Linked DNA regions of Mus musculus. The protein of the gene in region 1 purifies or fractionates together with the protein of each later gene. This does not show direct contact. Links are inferred from orthologs where the notes say so. Each region holds a gene or a part of one and is shown on either strand. Other genes may lie near its edges.

Region 1 (5,517 bases):
GAGCGAGCGTGCATCAGTGTCTGTATCTGTCCCTTTGCAGCTGTGCATCCTCTTTGGGGACCAAGAAGGCAGGAGGAAAAAGGAAAACAGCCCATCCGTTTGGTTTTCGCCTCGGCAATCTGCACAAGTGTTGAACCCTCCACCTGGATGAGGGAAAGCGAAGTGGGGGATGGGGGAGTCCTAAGGATGGAATGCAAGAGACTCCTCAGCTTGGCCACCTGCTTTTCCTAAAAGGAACAACAACAACAAATGGTAGAAATTTCCAGAAGTCCTTACTCAGGCCACTGCAAATGCCAATCTTTAACCTTTCCCCTAAATCTGCTGGCTTAAGAGAACAGGAAGAAAGGGGAACCCCGTTGGGCTAATCTGTGGGCCTGCACTAAGATCCCACCCGGTCCAACTGCAATGCAGACTTTTTTTTTTAGTTCCCCCTTTAGTAACTGGAAAAGAATGCTACTTCGAAAGCAATTAACTTTTTACCAACCCCAGGCACTGTGGTGGCCACGAGGAAAAGCAGCCAGCTTGAGTCAGGGCTGGGAAATTGGCTGAGGTTCACACTCACAAACAGATCCTGGCTTCCCAAACCTGTAGGAGCCATTTTAATGCGTGCTCTTAGAGGACAAACGCTTTGCCCTCAAGTTTCCTTTCAGCCCAAGAAGTTACGCAAAGGCTGAGAGAGGCAAACCAGGAGGTTGGTGACTAGCCACTGGATCTGCAGAGGCCTCAAGAAACTCAGTTTGTAATTTCCACTTACAGCAAGGAGATAAGAATAAAGAGAGTAACAGAACTTGTGTGCGGCTAAGGCACTGCTTAAAGAACATTATACCCCACCTGTGTTTGACTCGGCGACACCGGCCTGCCCCACACAGACTGCCCAGTTGATAATTTAGTCCGTCTCTCTTTACTAAGTGAACCTTTTTCAACTGATGTCAAAGCTTCAGCTGCCTGAACACTAGAAGAAAAAAAGTCAAGAGTCTGTGCCGTTGGCCTAGGATAACCACTGCTCAGAGACAGCCCTTCCATGCAGCCTGACTGGGTCTCAAAGCAGGAACTAGATGTGGTGAGTTTCCAGGTGGACCCTGAAGGTGAGGACTTTAAGATTCTAGCTGCAGCCTCAAAAGTAGGGCAAATGCAAAGCCAACATGTACAGGGGTGTGTGGCCCAGACTTTCAGGGAGGTGAAGGCTGTATCTAGTGGTCAGTGGGTTCTAAGCCAAACCTAGTTTGGGAGTGGCTAGGCTTCTGTTCTAGATGTAAACACCATAAAACTTACATATGAAAACACAAGGCGCACATGCAGGCACATGCCCTGTGTGTGTGTGGGGGGGGGGGGCTCTGGAACCCTGGAAGGACAAAACAGCTTTGCTCACATTTCACATTTCACAAGCAGATCACCTACCCAGAGTTCAGAAGAGCCAAGCACAATCCAAGGTCTAGCTGCGAGTCACAAGGAACCCAGTAATTCCTGCCCCCAGCGGAGAGTAAGCAGGAAGTGAGAGCTGCAGCCCTAACTGCAGATTAGCAGGAACAACAGTGGATTCCAGCCATCACCTAAACTCAAAGACACTCTCTGGAAGCCACCCTCTCCCCACCCCCATTACCACAGACCCCAGAGGTTCACCAAACTCTTGATCCACGTTCGCAGAGGAGGCAGGTTTACTTACCCAACACACGTTCAAGCAACCGTCTCACTTTTCCCCAGTTAGGAGGAGAGGACAGGCTGGCAGATTTGGGACTTGATCAAAAAGGAAATTTTTTTTTTTTTTTGGTAAACAGTTACATGGTATTATTAAAAACACACACCACCACCACCACCACCACCACTACAACAACCACAACAACACAACCCAGCAACTGGATATGGGATGCTGTCATGAGCCTCAGGTATGTATGAGCCATGTCCCCTGCACTGTATCACAGAAGACAGAAGATGATAGAATGTTTGAAAAGGGGGGAGGGAGACAAGGATAAAAGAGACATTAGCCCATGGAAAAATCATGCAAGAAGTATAAAACTAAAGGAGTCAGAGTCTTCACAGATCTCTTTTTTTCCCCCCTTCAGGATGTTATTCAAAATCTCTCCCCATCCCCACTCCCACCCCACCCACCCCCAACCCCCCAGGCACCAAGCCTACTCCAAAAACTCCCTCAGAGGCTAGGAAACACTTTCAGAACCATTTGCTGGCTGTAGGCTGACTTGAAGAACATTCTGTACCAAGCTAAGTCGGGGGGAGGAAAAAAAAACCCTGAACAATGTTGCTGCGAGTGCGAAGCTCTGGAGAGGAAGAGATGACAGTCCACACGCCACCACCCACCTAGGCCCAGGAACCAGCCTGGGTCCCTGAGTACTGTTCTTGTTCAGGCCTGACTTCTGGTGCAAACACGCATCCTCTCTTGTCAGAACTTAGCCCAGCCTTTCCCAGAACCGCTCTGGAGAAGCAAGCTGGCTTGCTCTGCTCTCTGCCACAGGCAGTCCTGAACTGTGCTGGGAGAAGACCTTCTGGCTTCTGGCTTACCTTCCATTTTCTTCCCCCAGCAGGCATGTGACACACAGCGGCCGACAGTGCAGGGGGAGGACTGTTCAGAGAGAGAGGGAGAGGGGGGAGAGGAAGGGAGGGAAAAATAAAATAAAAGAAGGGGGGATAATAGCTTCTCTTTTGGCATACCAGGATCTAGCTTCAAACTAGTCCAGAAATTCTTTGTCCTGGTCAAAATAAAGGTATTCCAAGCCCTCACCAGTCTGTAAAATCAAGCTATGGCTAATGGCTACTTAGCCATGTGACCCAAAAAGGAAAAAAAAAATCTCTCTAAACAGTCCCAAGTTACCCTAAGTGCTCTGGGGGGGGAAGTGTGGCAGAGCCAGGCTACAGAGAAATCACACTGCTAGTCCACGACTCGATGACTCGGAGGGAGGGGGGAAAAGATGGTTAAAAAGCCGAGCTTACCTCTGTGGATGCATTGTTAACTGTGTAATGTCAATACTTATAAAACATGGAGGACAGGCTCCTAGTTCTCACAGAAAAAGGGTTTGGCACTTCGGCTGATGATCTGGCCGCCTAATAAAAGCTCATCCCCGATTGGCTGCCCCGGCCAATCGGAGTGTAAAGCCGCCGCCGATTGGCTGAAACACTTCCTGAGCGATTATCTTTGTGAGGCTCGGGTGAGCAAGAGCCATCCTGTGCATAGAAAAAGACAGGCTAAGCTAGGCCTTCTGCAGGAGGGAAAACTTGGGACAGGGGCCTCCACAAGCACTTCTCCCACCCCCTGGCTCGATCCCCCAGGCCAGGCAAACCCGTGCAGCCAGCCTGACCTGCTCCAGCAAAGCCTGAAGCCAGCGCGCCACTGGGAAGGGCCCTTTTGGGGTGGGCTGGCTGACCCATCCACGCCTGCCCCCACACACAAGTCCTTCTCTAAGAAGGCGAGCAGGCCGTTTTATAGAACAAGCCAGCTTGAGTGGGTCTCAAAGGACAAAGTCGAGCTTAGGGGTGGAGAGAGCCCCAGGGAGGCAGAAGCAATAGGGACAAGGCCAGACGCAGGCCTCTGAGGGGGGCGGGGGGGGGGGGCGCGCGCGGGGAGTGAGACAGGCAGCCCGAGGGAGCCCCAACAAATCAGCAAGGGGCACCCAGGTTCCAGGGAGCTGAGAGGTGCAGCTTGCTGTGAGGTGGAGCGATCAAGTTTGCCTAGTCATGGTCAAAGTGGCTCTTGGAAAAAAGGCAGGCCCACAGAGCCATTTGCAAAACTGGGAGACCTCTAACCTCTCACCGCCACCCCTCAGCCGATCCTCAAAGACAAACCAAAAAGGGCTCTGTCAGGATGGCAAGGGAGATACCCTCTCCAGGCTTACCCTAAGAAAAGCCAAATGCGTTGCTAGCAGGCCACATGCCTCCATTTAAGTCTTCCCTCCCTCTGCTCCCTCCCCCCACCGATGAGGCCTGCTAAACCTGTCAGTTAAACAAAAATCTGACTTCCGTCTTAGTCTGTGATGCCTTCAGCTTCCTGCCTGTTAACCCTCTCTGGGACTCTGGGCCTCGCTGGGAAAAACTAGGCCCTGAGATTGTAGAAAAGGGCCTGTGGAAAAATACCAGCTGCAGCTCTCCGGGCAGATGCAGAGAGAGAGAGAGAGGGAGCTAGCTAGCTGCTGTCTCGCTTCTGCTTCCCAAGGAGGCGTGGACCTTGTGAATCCAGGGCATACAGGCAGTGCCTCTCAGTCAGAGAAGCCATTTAAATCCAGAGGGACAGAGAAAGATGTCAAACCGGGCCAGGAAACAAGCCCGTCCATTATAGTCAGGCCTACACACCCACAGGTTGGCCCTTTCTGCCACAATCGCCCCTGTATGTGTGTTCTGGGGGGAAACTGGGCCCTGTTTGGTGGGCAGACAAATCCCCTGGGCTTCGTAAGGCTTCTTGCTTCAATTTATTTCCACAGAGAACTGCTTCTTTTCGTCCCCTAAGGCAGATGGAAGGGCAATTTCACACACACAGCCTCACATTGGCAGTCCCCCTACTCCCCCCATCTCTGGCTCTGCTCCCCAGTAAAATATTAACTAGTTCCTCAGACCTGCTTAGAATTCTCCCCGATGGTGCTGGGTGGGAGACCAGTGCCTGATTCTTTCCTAAAAACTGTCATTTGTAGAAAAGGCACAGAGGAGAATCAAAAACTGTCCAAGGCTCTCTCCTATTCTTAGCTATTTTTTTAAAAACAACAACATCCTTAATTAACAAGATTCTTAAAAAAAAAAAAAAGACGCTAAATAAACACCTTTCTTCAGGGGCCGGCAGTTGATGCAGCCAGACACCAGGAGGTGGACCCAGAAAGCAATAAAGTCCCCCTCAGCTACTGAAACTAGGACTCATTCCTGCCTCCCCAGGCGTTTCCTCAAAGGAATTGAAGGGCTGAGCTGATGGCTTGCTCTCCCTGCCCCCCAAGGACAACAGATGCCCAGCAGGCCAGTGTGCACTCTCCCTGGCTGGGGAATCTGCTCTCAGGCTCCAGACCCAGCCAGGAATCTAAACACACAGTACTGCAGGACAAAACCCTGGCTTTGGAAAGGAGACAGGATTTTGTTTGAACCAGCTGAGGTCGATAGCAGCAGGGGACAACTCCAGAGCCACTAGGCCTGACAAAGGCACTCAGGACAACAGGCCTGGCTTCACCCAAAGGGAAGGGTCGGCTCTTACTGGGGAGGGAAACCTTACTGGGACCAAACAGGGAACCTGAGGCCTGATCCGGGCACCCTCCCCTTCATGTGGCTTCGGACTCTACTATCAGCCATATGAAGTATGGCTTGGGGGGTGAGGGGAGGCGACAACACACGGAGTTGCTGATAGGTCTTGGGGACACCTAACTTCCCAATTGGAAAAGAGAATACATACACAGCAGGGGAGCGCATGGATTAAAGCTTGTTGTGTAAGCGGGAGCGCGCGCGCGCGCGCGCGCACACACACACACACACACACACACACACACACACACACACACACACGTACTCCCGTGCTCTCCCTCTCCCTTTTCCCTCCCT
Region 2 (5,417 bases), on another chromosome or scaffold:
GAAGACAGCTACAGTGTACTTACATATAATAAATAAATGAATCTTTAAAAAAAAAAAAGAAGTATATGGTATGAAGAAGTTTTTCCATTGCGAGTACTCCCTCTGCCTTACATTTTTCGTCCATCTTAATTAAGAGAATATAGAAGTACATTAATTTTTTTTTGTCCTGAAGATTGAATCCAGGGCTTCATAATTGCTGGTCAAGCACTCTCCCACCAAGCATTAGTCCCAAACACTTTTTTAAAATTTGAAATAAAGTGTCAGCTACTGGGAGTGGCCTTGAACATGAATCCTCCTACCTCAGCTTTTGAGTAGCTCTGATAACAACACTATATCACCAGACCTGGACTCCTTAGGTGTTTGTTTGTTTGATACCAACTGACCTCTACCTTTCAGTTCCTGGGATTTATTTTTTATGATAGCAAGTTGTTGATTTACCTTTTTCTTTTTAAAGTACTCTTTTATTTTTTATGAGTACACTGTAGCTGTCTTCAGATACCAGAAGAGGGCATCAGACCCTATTACAAATAGTTGGAAGCCACTATTTATTGCTGGGAATTGAACTCAGGACCTCTGGTTGACTTAACTTAATAAAAGTGTATTGGAAAGCCAATTGTGGTGGCACATAACTTTAATTAATCTCAGTACTTGGGAGACAGAGACAGCAGGACCTGGTCTACATACAAAGTTCTAGGGCAGCCAGGGTTGCATAGGCCCCATCTCTCAAAACAAAAAGAATATATTGGAGACTTTACTATTCAATATGCTGACACACACCCATTCTTTATGAAGATGCCACACAATTCTACTTACGAATACAGTTTATGTCACTATTAACTTGTTTGTTGATGGGTATTTATTTAGGTTGTTTTTGGTCCTTTGCTGCTATAAACAGTGCTACTGGAAATAGTCTTGTAATACAGCATATTTTTGTGATTGTTGGGTCAATTTCTTAGTATTGCAAGGATTTTGGTACTAAAGCTAGATAGGATCTTTATAAACTTGAGATAGGGTCTATCTCACTGTGTAGCTTTGCCTGACCTGAAGCTTATTGTGTAGACCAGGGATGAGGTCTGCTCTTAGAGATCCACCACCTGCCTCAACCTCAGAGTACTGAAATTAAAGGTGTGTACCACCATGCGTAGCATAGATGTTTTGTCATTGGTACCTTTGAGTGTGTCCAATATTGAGAAAAATAATGAGTTCAGGAAAGCAGGTTGTTGGGGGCTGGAGAGATGGCTTAGCGGTTAAGAGCACTGACTTCTCTTCCGAAGGCCCTGAGTTTAAATCCCAGCAACCATGTGGTGGCTCACAACCATCTGTAATGAGATTTGACGCCCTCTACTGGTGTGTCTTAAGATGGCTACAGTGTACTTACATATAAATAATAAATTTTTTTTTAAAGGAAAGTAGGTTGTTTCTGTTGACCAGTCTGGCCTCAAAGTTAGAGATCCACCTACCTCTGCCTCCCAAGTGCTGGAGGTTAAAGGTGTGTACCACCATGATCTGAAGTAGGTTTGATCTAATGAAGGACTTATTAGTAAAACATAAAAATAAATCTTTATGTGAGAGAAACAAGTCATGTGAAACTGGAATATTTGAATTTGAATCAAATTTTTAAGATTTCCCCCAGTTTAGCTGGAACAATACTTCTTCCAAAGGTCATAGATGATAGATAAACTGTCTATCTGACTGCTTTTATTATATATACTTAATGGTCTTCATTTTCCTGCATAGCTCCACTAAAAAATAACCTTTTGTTTCTCCTCCATAACAGGTCTCTTTTGAGATATATTTAAGATCCCTATAAAGGTTTTAGTTTGTCCATGTTCTAAATTACATTATTGAAGGCCTTTCCCCGTCTCTAACACTAGAAATTGAACCCAGGATTTCACGCATGAGAGTTGAATGCTATACTACTACCAAGCTATATTCCCAACTCACTCTCTTTTTTTTTTTTTGAGTCAGGGCCTCTGCTTAGTTGTGCACACTGGCTGTGAACCTGAACTCACTGCATGGTTTTGGCAGGCCTTAGTTTGTGATCTTCTTGCTTTCGCAGCCTGAATAATTAAGATTATAGATGTAGGACACCCAGCAAAAGCCTAAAATTTCCACAATAACTTTTCTGAGTAAAAATAAATATACATATGCCTGCCCTCACCCAAAGCCATATTTTTGGCTTACTATGTATGCATCAACCAATAGCTACCCTCCTCTCTAAACTTCGTATTGCTTAGTAACTCCTACCTATTTTCAGGAGTTGTGTGTTGTTTTACCATAAGCCAAATTTTAATTTGATAGCACTTAATTTTGTAAGTTATTACTAAAGGACATGCATGGACATAATTTCCAACTCTTGGTTGTTATTTTTAAACGTTACTGCTTCCTTTGTACAGGAGAAATTTAGGAACAAACAGATATGTGACCTAACTTGTCTGGTTTTGGGACTTCTTTGTGGGACAGTGGGGCGCAGTTGAAATTCTTCTGGATAAGACAATGGGAAAGCATTGTTGATACTTAATAGCAGTGCAAAAATTGCTGTTTGGTCGATGGTGGCAAAAGACACTGGCAAGTTCTTCAGCCTGAAAGTGAATCTCCATAGAGTAAGGTGACAGAAACACTTGAGAATGTGCATTGCATAGGTATCATAAACAAAAAGAAATGATTTTATATCATGCCATTTCACTTAACCTATTTTTCAGGTGAAGAGAATGAGACTGGAGAGAGGTTGTACATACAGCTATTTTTATAGGTTGCATATATAGCTAGATTTAGTTTGAACCAGTATATAAACCCCCCTTTTTTCCCTTACCACTTCACTCATTCTGTTTTATCTCATTGGGAAAACAGAAACATCTAGCATAATAAACATCAGCTATAGGCTAAATGTACAATTTGAGAAGTCTAGAGTATTGGATCAGTGATGAACTTCTATGTAGATAGATGTTGGTATGTTTGGTGAGTTGAATCTACTGTCCTTAATGCTGTTCTAAGAAAGGTAGCATTCACAATGATAATTGAAGGCAAGGAAGATGACTCTCCAGGCAGGAAAGAAAAACTAAACTCTTCAAATAGAATGTTTTCTTACATTTGAAAGTATGGGGATAATAAAGTTGGTAATTAGATGGGAAGCAGGGTTTTGTTGGTGTTCTCTATATATTTGCTGAAGAAATGTTCATGCTAATTTTGAGGGAACCAGACTAAATTTGTTAGCAGCTGAAAATTGTATAGGATTAGTTTCACTTTTTTTTTCTCCTAAACAGACCAGAAGGAAAGGATTATGCCCTTCATTGGCTAGTGCTGGGCACTCATACATCTGATGAGCAGAACCATCTGGTGGTTGCTCGAGTTCATATTCCCAATGATGATGCACAGTTTGATGCTTCCCACTGTGACAGTGACAAGGGAGGTGGGTATACTACATATTTCAACATTAACGTCAAAGGGAGGAGTCATCTTAGCATGTAGATTAAAATTTGTAGTCAGCTTTTGGCTTAGCCATGTAACTTTTATTTGGTTTTTTTTTTTTTTTGGGTGGGGGTCGACACAGGGTTTCTCTGTGTAGCTCCGGCTATCTATCCTGGAACTCACTCTGTAGACTAGGCTGACCTTGAACTCAAATCTGTCTGCCTTTGCCACCCAAGTGCTGGGATTAAAGGTATGCGACACCACTGCCTGGCTTTTGTTCTTTGTTGGTTTTTTTGGGGGGGGGGTAACTTAAAAGAAGTAGTCACACATATGTGTTGAGGTTTTTTCACAGTAACATATACAGTACCAAGAAATTAGGATCAGTGTAGCAAAATAAGAGGGTCATGGGACATTGATTAAGTACATTATAGTGTGTTTAAAATATTACTCTGCAACTAAGAATGAAAAGAAAAACTGGTATGTAAGGTGAGATTTTTATAAATAATCAGATCTTAACTAGAAAGGCCAGTTTTTAAATTTTTTTATATCCAAGGTAGAACCAACTGTATTAACATGAGGTAGCAATCCATATAATGCAGATGGGCTTTGAGATCAATTTCATATAGCAGATAACTTGTATTTTGGAGATTTTCTTTTTCTCCACTATCTGTTTTCTATTCGGACTGTAAATTTGGTTGAGTTGATTGAGTTAAATGACTTGTGAGTAATAATCCTGAATGTATATGTTTTATGTCTCCTCACATTAGAATTCGGTGGCTTTGGTTCTGTAACAGGGAAAATTGAATGTGAAATTAAAATTAACCATGAAGGAGAAGTGAATCGTGCTCGTTATATGCCACAGAATCCTCACATCATTGCCACAAAAACACCATCTTCTGATGTTTTGGTTTTTGACTATACAAAACACCCTGCAAAACCAGGTATGTAATAATAAAGCCAGGCCAGTACACATCTTTGTTGATTGGAGACGATAATATTTTAAAAATAAAGTACTGTACTGTGTAGGCTGGAGAGATGGCTCAACAGCAGTTAGAAACTCTGGCTGCTCTTCAGAGGATGTGCATTCAATTCCCAGCACCCACATGGCAGTTATTTTATAACTTTCAAAGTGAGGAATCTCATAACCACCTGCAAGTTTGGTGATTTGCTAGAACCTGATAGCAGATTATACTTGCAGGTGTGGATCCAGGGCAAAAGCAGAAGAAAAAAAGATGAATCAGGTAGATCGGGGACCCAGACAGGCTTCTGAGTATTTCCTTTCTGGGATCAAACAGGACATGCTTTTTCTGTAGCAGAAAAGTACAGGAATTTTTGCTAAGTGACTGTCCAGAGGAGCCTGTTTGAGGCCCAAGGTCTGGGGCTTCTAAGGTAAATTTGGTTACAGGCTCTGTGTACACTCATGGTAATGAAAACCAGCAGCTTCAACAATGAAGTTAGATGAATACTTGATAAACTGTACTACAAGTTGCTGCAGCATGTTTTCACTGCTCTGAGCATGTCACATTCTGAAAGGTTGGCCAAAGGTCATTCATGGTTTCAAGATACCCTGGGTATGCAAGGACTAAATGAGTAACCAGACATGTTAGATATATTTCTAAAAATTGCCTTGGGATGAGAATGATGGGGTAGCTACTACACAGATGGAATAGCTGTACTTGTCAACATTTCTGTAATAGTGATAATACTGTTGTTTTTTTTCCCCAAAACCAGTCAAAGCACTTGTGGGTTATATGTACTCTTGGTTGGTTGGTTTGTTTGTTTGTTTGTTTGAGACAGGGTTTCTTCTCTGTGTAGCCCTGGCTATACTGGAAGTAGCTCAGTAGACCAGGCTGGCCTTGAACTCAGAAATCCACCTGCCTCTAGCCTCCCAAGTGCTGGAATTAAAGGAGTGTGCCACCACGCCCAGCAGATGAAGTCTTTGTTCTTGTAGAATTGCTCTTTTGGTTCACTCAATGAAAGGAATTTGAAGCTTGGCTCTTTACAATTCT
Region 3 (5,517 bases), on another chromosome or scaffold:
ACTGAGTGCCTGCGCCCTGTGTCTCAGTCACCACGTGCCCACCTAGTCTTTCCTGTGAGATTCTATGAAAAGCAAACCTTTCCCAGACTGCCCTAAACCGAGCAGCTGGCACTGCTAAGGGCTTAATTTTCTCTGAGAAAATATCACAATAGTAGGTATTAGTCGTAACTTCAACTTATTTGAGTAATAAGCATAATTTTGGTATAGCCTCTGTTCTTTTTGAAAAATACTTCCAATCCATTATAAAAGCAAAACCACAATATTAGTGATTTCTTACTCTACCCTTCAAATATAAAGAAAAGCTACACAGAAATGCCTACACAGTGGTTTGACAAAGGAGTATGAGGTGGTTCAGACTGCCCTCTGAGAAAAACCAAACACGTCAGGAACTAGAGCATCGAGCGGGTCTCCCAAATCTCATGCTTGAACTTGAACCTGTGCTCAGTGCTAAGATCCTACAGCCCAGGCTGAAATGAACACTCAGAGGAATGAAGAAGTAGGAAGGAAGAGCTCTGGTGAAGGTCCATTTCAACAGAACAATGATGTCAGGTACATTTCTTTGTGCCTAGGTCTGCTATCTGTAAAAATAATTTAAAGCCGCTTCCGTACTGGATGTGGTAAATATATGCATTGGATCTTTAGAGCAGAGGAAAAACTATCAAGCAACTCATCTCTGAAGTTCCTCACAAGAACCATGGGAAACTACTAACCCTATGTTTCCTTAAACACACTGGGGCTTACACACACCTGAGCACTGTTCCCTTCCAAACACTCCACAGCAAACAGCACTTAGTCCCAAAATGCTACTGCACAGACATTTAGACATTTCCCTGAAATTGCTTTAGACTTGGCAAATTCAATCCTCCAAATGTGCAGCAACAGAACATGGATATTCCCAACTATGCTTGTTTTTGCTTATCCTTAAAATGAAAATGTCTGAAGTAACTTCTATTCAAAACAGGTTTATGTAAGTAATGAAATTGCATGGTTTCCTCCAGCAAGTTCCCTGAAGGAAACATTTCTCTGCTTAAAACACACCCCTCCCATAACTACAGACCTCCAATGTACAACTCATACTTAGCGGGGCCAAGCTCCCTATCTGCCATCATTCCTTCCTTCTCACCCCAGTGTCTTGGGCAGCAGCAATAGCATCACCCATCTCTGCAGCAACTCTGCTCCTTCATCACTAGGCCAGGATGGTAAGGAGCATTAGCAGCAGCCATTTTTTTTGAAAGGTGATTCACACAACGCTAAAATCTACACAATTAAATAAGAACTGCCCTAAGGCACAAGCTTTTCAATCCTGCATTTTTGTTCACTGGGCACTGTGAAAATCTGGTGAAACACTACCACTCTCCAGTGCTCTTTCACTAGTGACACACATACATGTTAAGTGATCTGACAACATGAAAAACTGCCCAGATCCTAAGGTGACAAGCATATGCATTTAAATGACTTGACAACCATGAAGAACCGCTCAGGTCCTACGAACCACCCTCTCGAACAACCTACAAAGCACTATTGAATCTTCAATCACCTGTACAGAAACTTGGCTGACTCTTCATGCTCATTAAGATCATGTCTTCATTTGAGTGATAACAAAAGCCCTATCATTATCAAAGCGAGAGGGCTAGTCTTGCCACAGAGACAAGTTTTGTTCCAGTTATTATTTCAGGGGCTAGAATGTACTCTTCTGTTGCCCCAGATCTCTTAGCGGCTGGCTTGCTATATCCAGCCCACCTGAAACTTTACTGCTACATGAAATGAAAATATCAACTGAGGGAATTGTCCTGAATTTTTGGCTTTAAACTTATCTCTGAGCAGACTCCAGTTTTGTTTTGTTTTGGGTTTTCCGGACTTTTTCTGGAGTAACTGGGAGCAGAGAGTAACGAGTACAGATTTAGAATCCCTACAGTTGACAGATTCTCCATGCAAACTCCTTCCTCTCTTGCGAATACCTCTTTATTCCATATCAGATACAGTCCCCCCTCACAAGCTTTGTTTGAGAAGTTCAGAATTCACACTTTAAATGTTCCTGACCTACCAAACTCAGAATTAAGACCAGCCCGCACATTTTCTCAAAAGTTCACAAGGAAAAGCATGGTAGGAGTCCTGTAGGAGATGCTTATTCTGGGATAGCTGGTTCTTTTGCCCTGTGGGGGGAAAGGTTACATGCCACCGTTGGCCACTCACCTTGAGAATTTTTACAACCACCCTCTCATTGTTGGTGATGTTAATGGCCTCAAATACTTCACTATACTTGCCCCGACCAAGTTTTCGAACCAGTTGGTAATCATCTTGATTACTGTGAAAGGCAAGAGATATACATAAATGCCAGGATTTGGGATTAAGCAAGCCTCTGTCCACCACACATCCATCCGCCATCTCCAACTAATCAAGCATTCGGAAGTATTCCTACCATCACACAGCAACTCATTCTCTTAAATGAGAGCCACACAGAAGCTTGGCTCCCTTCACTCTGCAGAGCTCCTAACCTAACTGACTCTTAACAAGAAGAGGAATGGGCAGCTACAAGGCCTCAGGAGCCATTAAGGGGACTAAGGGAAGCATCCCCCCTGGTGGTACTGGGGTGCCCTGCCCGTGGCTCCACGGCACCTGCCTCCCATTTCACACCTTCCAGGGGGCACTGCCCGCTCTAGACAATCTGCCCCTCTTCAAAATGACCCTCCCACCCAGCCTCATTTCAGAAAGTAAAGAGGTAGAGATTTCAACAGCTCAAGAGGACAGCCATGGACTTCCCAACCCATAGGAAGCCCAAAGTCTGAGGAGGAAGGGCCGCCCCCACCCCCGACCCCACGCTTCTCCCCACCGGCGGCTGAGCCGGGGACCGAGGCAGGGCGGACAGGAGAGGCCGGGGACACGTGCGGCCGGGGCCGGGCCTCCCTGCCAGCCCCGAGGCCGAGCGGCCGGCGGGTGCGGTTCGCGCGTGGGGCGGCCGGCGGCGGCTTTACCCCCAGCTCGGGACGTGGGCTTCGTAGTCCCAGTACTCGCGGCTCCTCAGGCTGTTCACCTCGGCGTAGACCCGGGCCCGACTGCCCGCGGCCGGGCCGGGCATGGCGGGCGGGACCGGGGGGCGCCGCGGGGCGCCGAGGGCGGCGGCGGCGCGGCGCGGGGCGCGGGGCGGCAGGCACGGGAAGCGGCGGGCCGCGGGCTGCCCAAGCAAGAGGAGGAGCGCGGCGGCGGCGGCGGGCGTCCGCGCCAGGCCGGGCCCGCGGGGGCGGGCGGACGGACGGACGCTCGGGCCGGGGGGCGCGGAAGGCGCCGGCCGAGCCGGCCCGGGGCCTTCGGCTGCCGGAGGGACGGCGGGGTTCGTGCTCCGCGGAGGCCTCCGCTCGGCTCGCGGCCCCCCAGAGGCGGTGGTGGCGGCAGCGGCAGCCACCGGTCGGGAGAGGGGCAGCGGCAGCGGCGGCGGCGGCGAAGAGGGAGGAGGAGGAGGCGGAGGAAACCCGGAAAAGGGGCCGCACTCGCCAGGAGCGGCCGCCGCCCAGCCCCGGCCCGCCCCGGCCCACAGCGCCCCCTACAGTGCGGGGGGACTATGGCCGGCGCCCGCCCCCTCAGCGAGCTCGCCACCCTCCAAGCAATGTGGCCGGCTGCCTGCCCAACTGCAGGCCACCCCCCAGAAGTCTCTACCTTTGACTGCCGCCGCGCTTAGCATAGTTCCACTGTCCAGTCACCTCGTGTCCACCCACCACGACCTCCCATATTGGCCCTGAGCTGACTTTCTTTGAAACCCAAGAACCCTCCCCTCAAACTGTCCCCCTTCCTCACTCCTCTTCCCACTCTGGACCCCACCCTGCCATCCACAGATCCCTTCCTTCAAGAGGAAAACCAAACTAGTCCTAAAGCTACCCTCGCCTCCCAATTCCCCATCCAGATTCCTCCCTGAGAGCCCACTGAGCCATCCTTTGGGCCACTTGCTTAAACCAGAGCCCACCAGATAGTTTCCCCATAAAGTTAACTGGGTTTTTCCCCCTTTGTATTGAACCTGTAATTTGTGGATCATACTTTGAGAATGTAAATATCCATTTTGTTTGTTTGTTTGTTTGGGAGGAGGGAGAGCTGGGGAGTGAGGACTTCTTGAACAGTCTTCTCTCTCATTGATGTCCTGGGGTCCCCGGCTATCTTGTTTTCCTGTTCATATTCTTTAACAACAAGGATCTCTTCTTCCAGCCCAGGTTGCTCTGACTCTAAACTCCCCCTCTCCCTCCCCCCCACACACTGTTTTCTAGATGAGGCCACGTTTCCTCTTTCTTCACATACCGAACTATCGAGGTTCAAGTCCCGGTTCCATAGTTTGCAAGGAATGCAGATTTGAACCAATGACTCAACGTCTCCGTGCTACAGATTTTGTAGCATCAACCCAGCACCGACTTCACAGAGCTGTACAGAGACTAAGGACTGCTCCATATTAAAACACTACATGTTCCCGCTGTTGTTAAACTCTACACCTTTCCTTCCCTGAGAATAGCGCATGCCCGTCTTTCAGTTTCTTCTTCTCTCTGAGCTTGGCCACGGGGTACCGCTGCCACCCCACAAATGACTGGCTTTCTTTTTCAAATCTCACCTTAGAGGCCACTTTCTCTGAAGTTGATACTTCTCTCAGCGACTCCTCCATGCCCTTCGTAAAACTACAGCTTGGCATGAGTCCTCTCCTGGTTTGCCATCTGTCCCCTCCCTGTGAAAACAATGTGAAGGCATGACTAGGGCTGGGTGATCACCACCAGGTCACTCAGTGTCTGCCGGGCAGGAGGCCTTCAGTCAACACAGTGCTCTTGGCCCACGGTTACCATGCTGGTTACAAAGGGGACCCTGAAGGTCATATTATGCATGGACCAGCTGACTTTCTGTGTGACGCACAGAGAAAGGACACACCACTCATCACATTGCTGTCAAAAAAGCTCAACCTGCATCCAACCAGACACGGCCAAACTGAGGGACAGTTCAGCAAAAAAATCTAGTTCACACTGCTAAAAAATAACAGTGTCACAGCCAAAACAAAACTTGAGGTGCTGCTCTAGAGTAAAGGAGACTGAGAGCGACCCCTGAGGCTGCACACTGTAATCCTACCTGAGGAGTAGACTGTGGGTTCAAGGCCAGCCTGAGCTACATAGTAAGATCTTGTTTTGTTTGTTTACTTTTTTGTGGGGGGATGCAGTCAGGTGTGGTAGTGCATTTTGGTAACCCTGGTACTTGGGAGGTTAAGACAGGCAGATCAGCATGAGTTTGATGCCTGTCTATCTGGACTATGGAGTGAGACCTGTCCAAAATAAAAAATAAAACAAACCATTCAGAAGCCTAGAGAGACAGACACACTATTTCTACTGCCCTTATCATTCAAAAGCAGCAAAGAATATCCAAAATAAATAAATGGGTCAGGCCAGGTGGGGTAGTCCATGACTGTTAGCCTAGCAGTTGGGAGGCTAAGGCAGCAGCATAGCCTAGATTCTGTAATGTGCTTCAGGCCAGTGTGGGTTATGTAGACTCTATTTCAAAAAC

Evidence for each region.
Region 2: the proteins of Zmynd8 (region 1) and Rbbp7 purify together in Homo sapiens (affinity purification with mass spectrometry; 3 studies listed by BioGRID and IntAct, with this or other methods). This does not show direct contact. The link is inferred for Mus musculus from reciprocal best matches to the Homo sapiens genes ZMYND8 and RBBP7.
Region 3: the proteins of Zmynd8 (region 1) and Csnk2a2 purify together in Homo sapiens (affinity purification with mass spectrometry; 6 studies listed by BioGRID and IntAct, counting the BioPlex papers as one, with this or other methods). This does not show direct contact. The link is inferred for Mus musculus from reciprocal best matches to the Homo sapiens genes ZMYND8 and CSNK2A2.

What each region holds. Positions count from the first base shown.
Region 1 is NC_000068.7:165,881,665-165,887,181, forward strand, and holds the start of Zmynd8 (protein kinase C-binding protein 1), read right to left. Parts: upstream 3,175-5,517; 5' UTR 2,958-3,174; coding exon 2,944-2,957; intron 2,576-2,943; exon of another isoform or gene 2,515-2,575; intron 1,730-2,514; exon of another isoform or gene 1,664-1,729; intron 788-1,663; exon of another isoform or gene 41-787; intron 1-40. UniProt on the Homo sapiens protein: Chromatin reader that recognizes dual histone modifications such as histone H3.1 dimethylated at 'Lys-36' and histone H4 acetylated at 'Lys-16' (H3.1K36me2-H4K16ac) and histone H3 methylated at 'Lys-4' and histone H4 acetylated at 'Lys-14' (H3K4me1-H3K14ac).
Region 2 is NC_000086.7:162,765,589-162,771,005, forward strand, and holds part of Rbbp7 (histone-binding protein RBBP7), read left to right. Parts: intron 1-3,263; coding exon 3,264-3,409; intron 3,410-4,175; coding exon 4,176-4,349; intron 4,350-5,417. UniProt on the Homo sapiens protein: Core histone-binding subunit that may target chromatin remodeling factors, histone acetyltransferases and histone deacetylases to their histone substrates in a manner that is regulated by nucleosomal DNA.
Region 3 is NC_000074.6:95,485,372-95,490,888, forward strand, and holds the start of Csnk2a2 (casein kinase II subunit alpha'), read right to left. Parts: upstream 3,450-5,517; 5' UTR 3,077-3,449; coding exon 2,973-3,076; exon of another isoform or gene 2,831-2,972; intron 2,790-2,830; exon of another isoform or gene 2,306-2,789; coding exon 2,194-2,305; intron 1-2,193.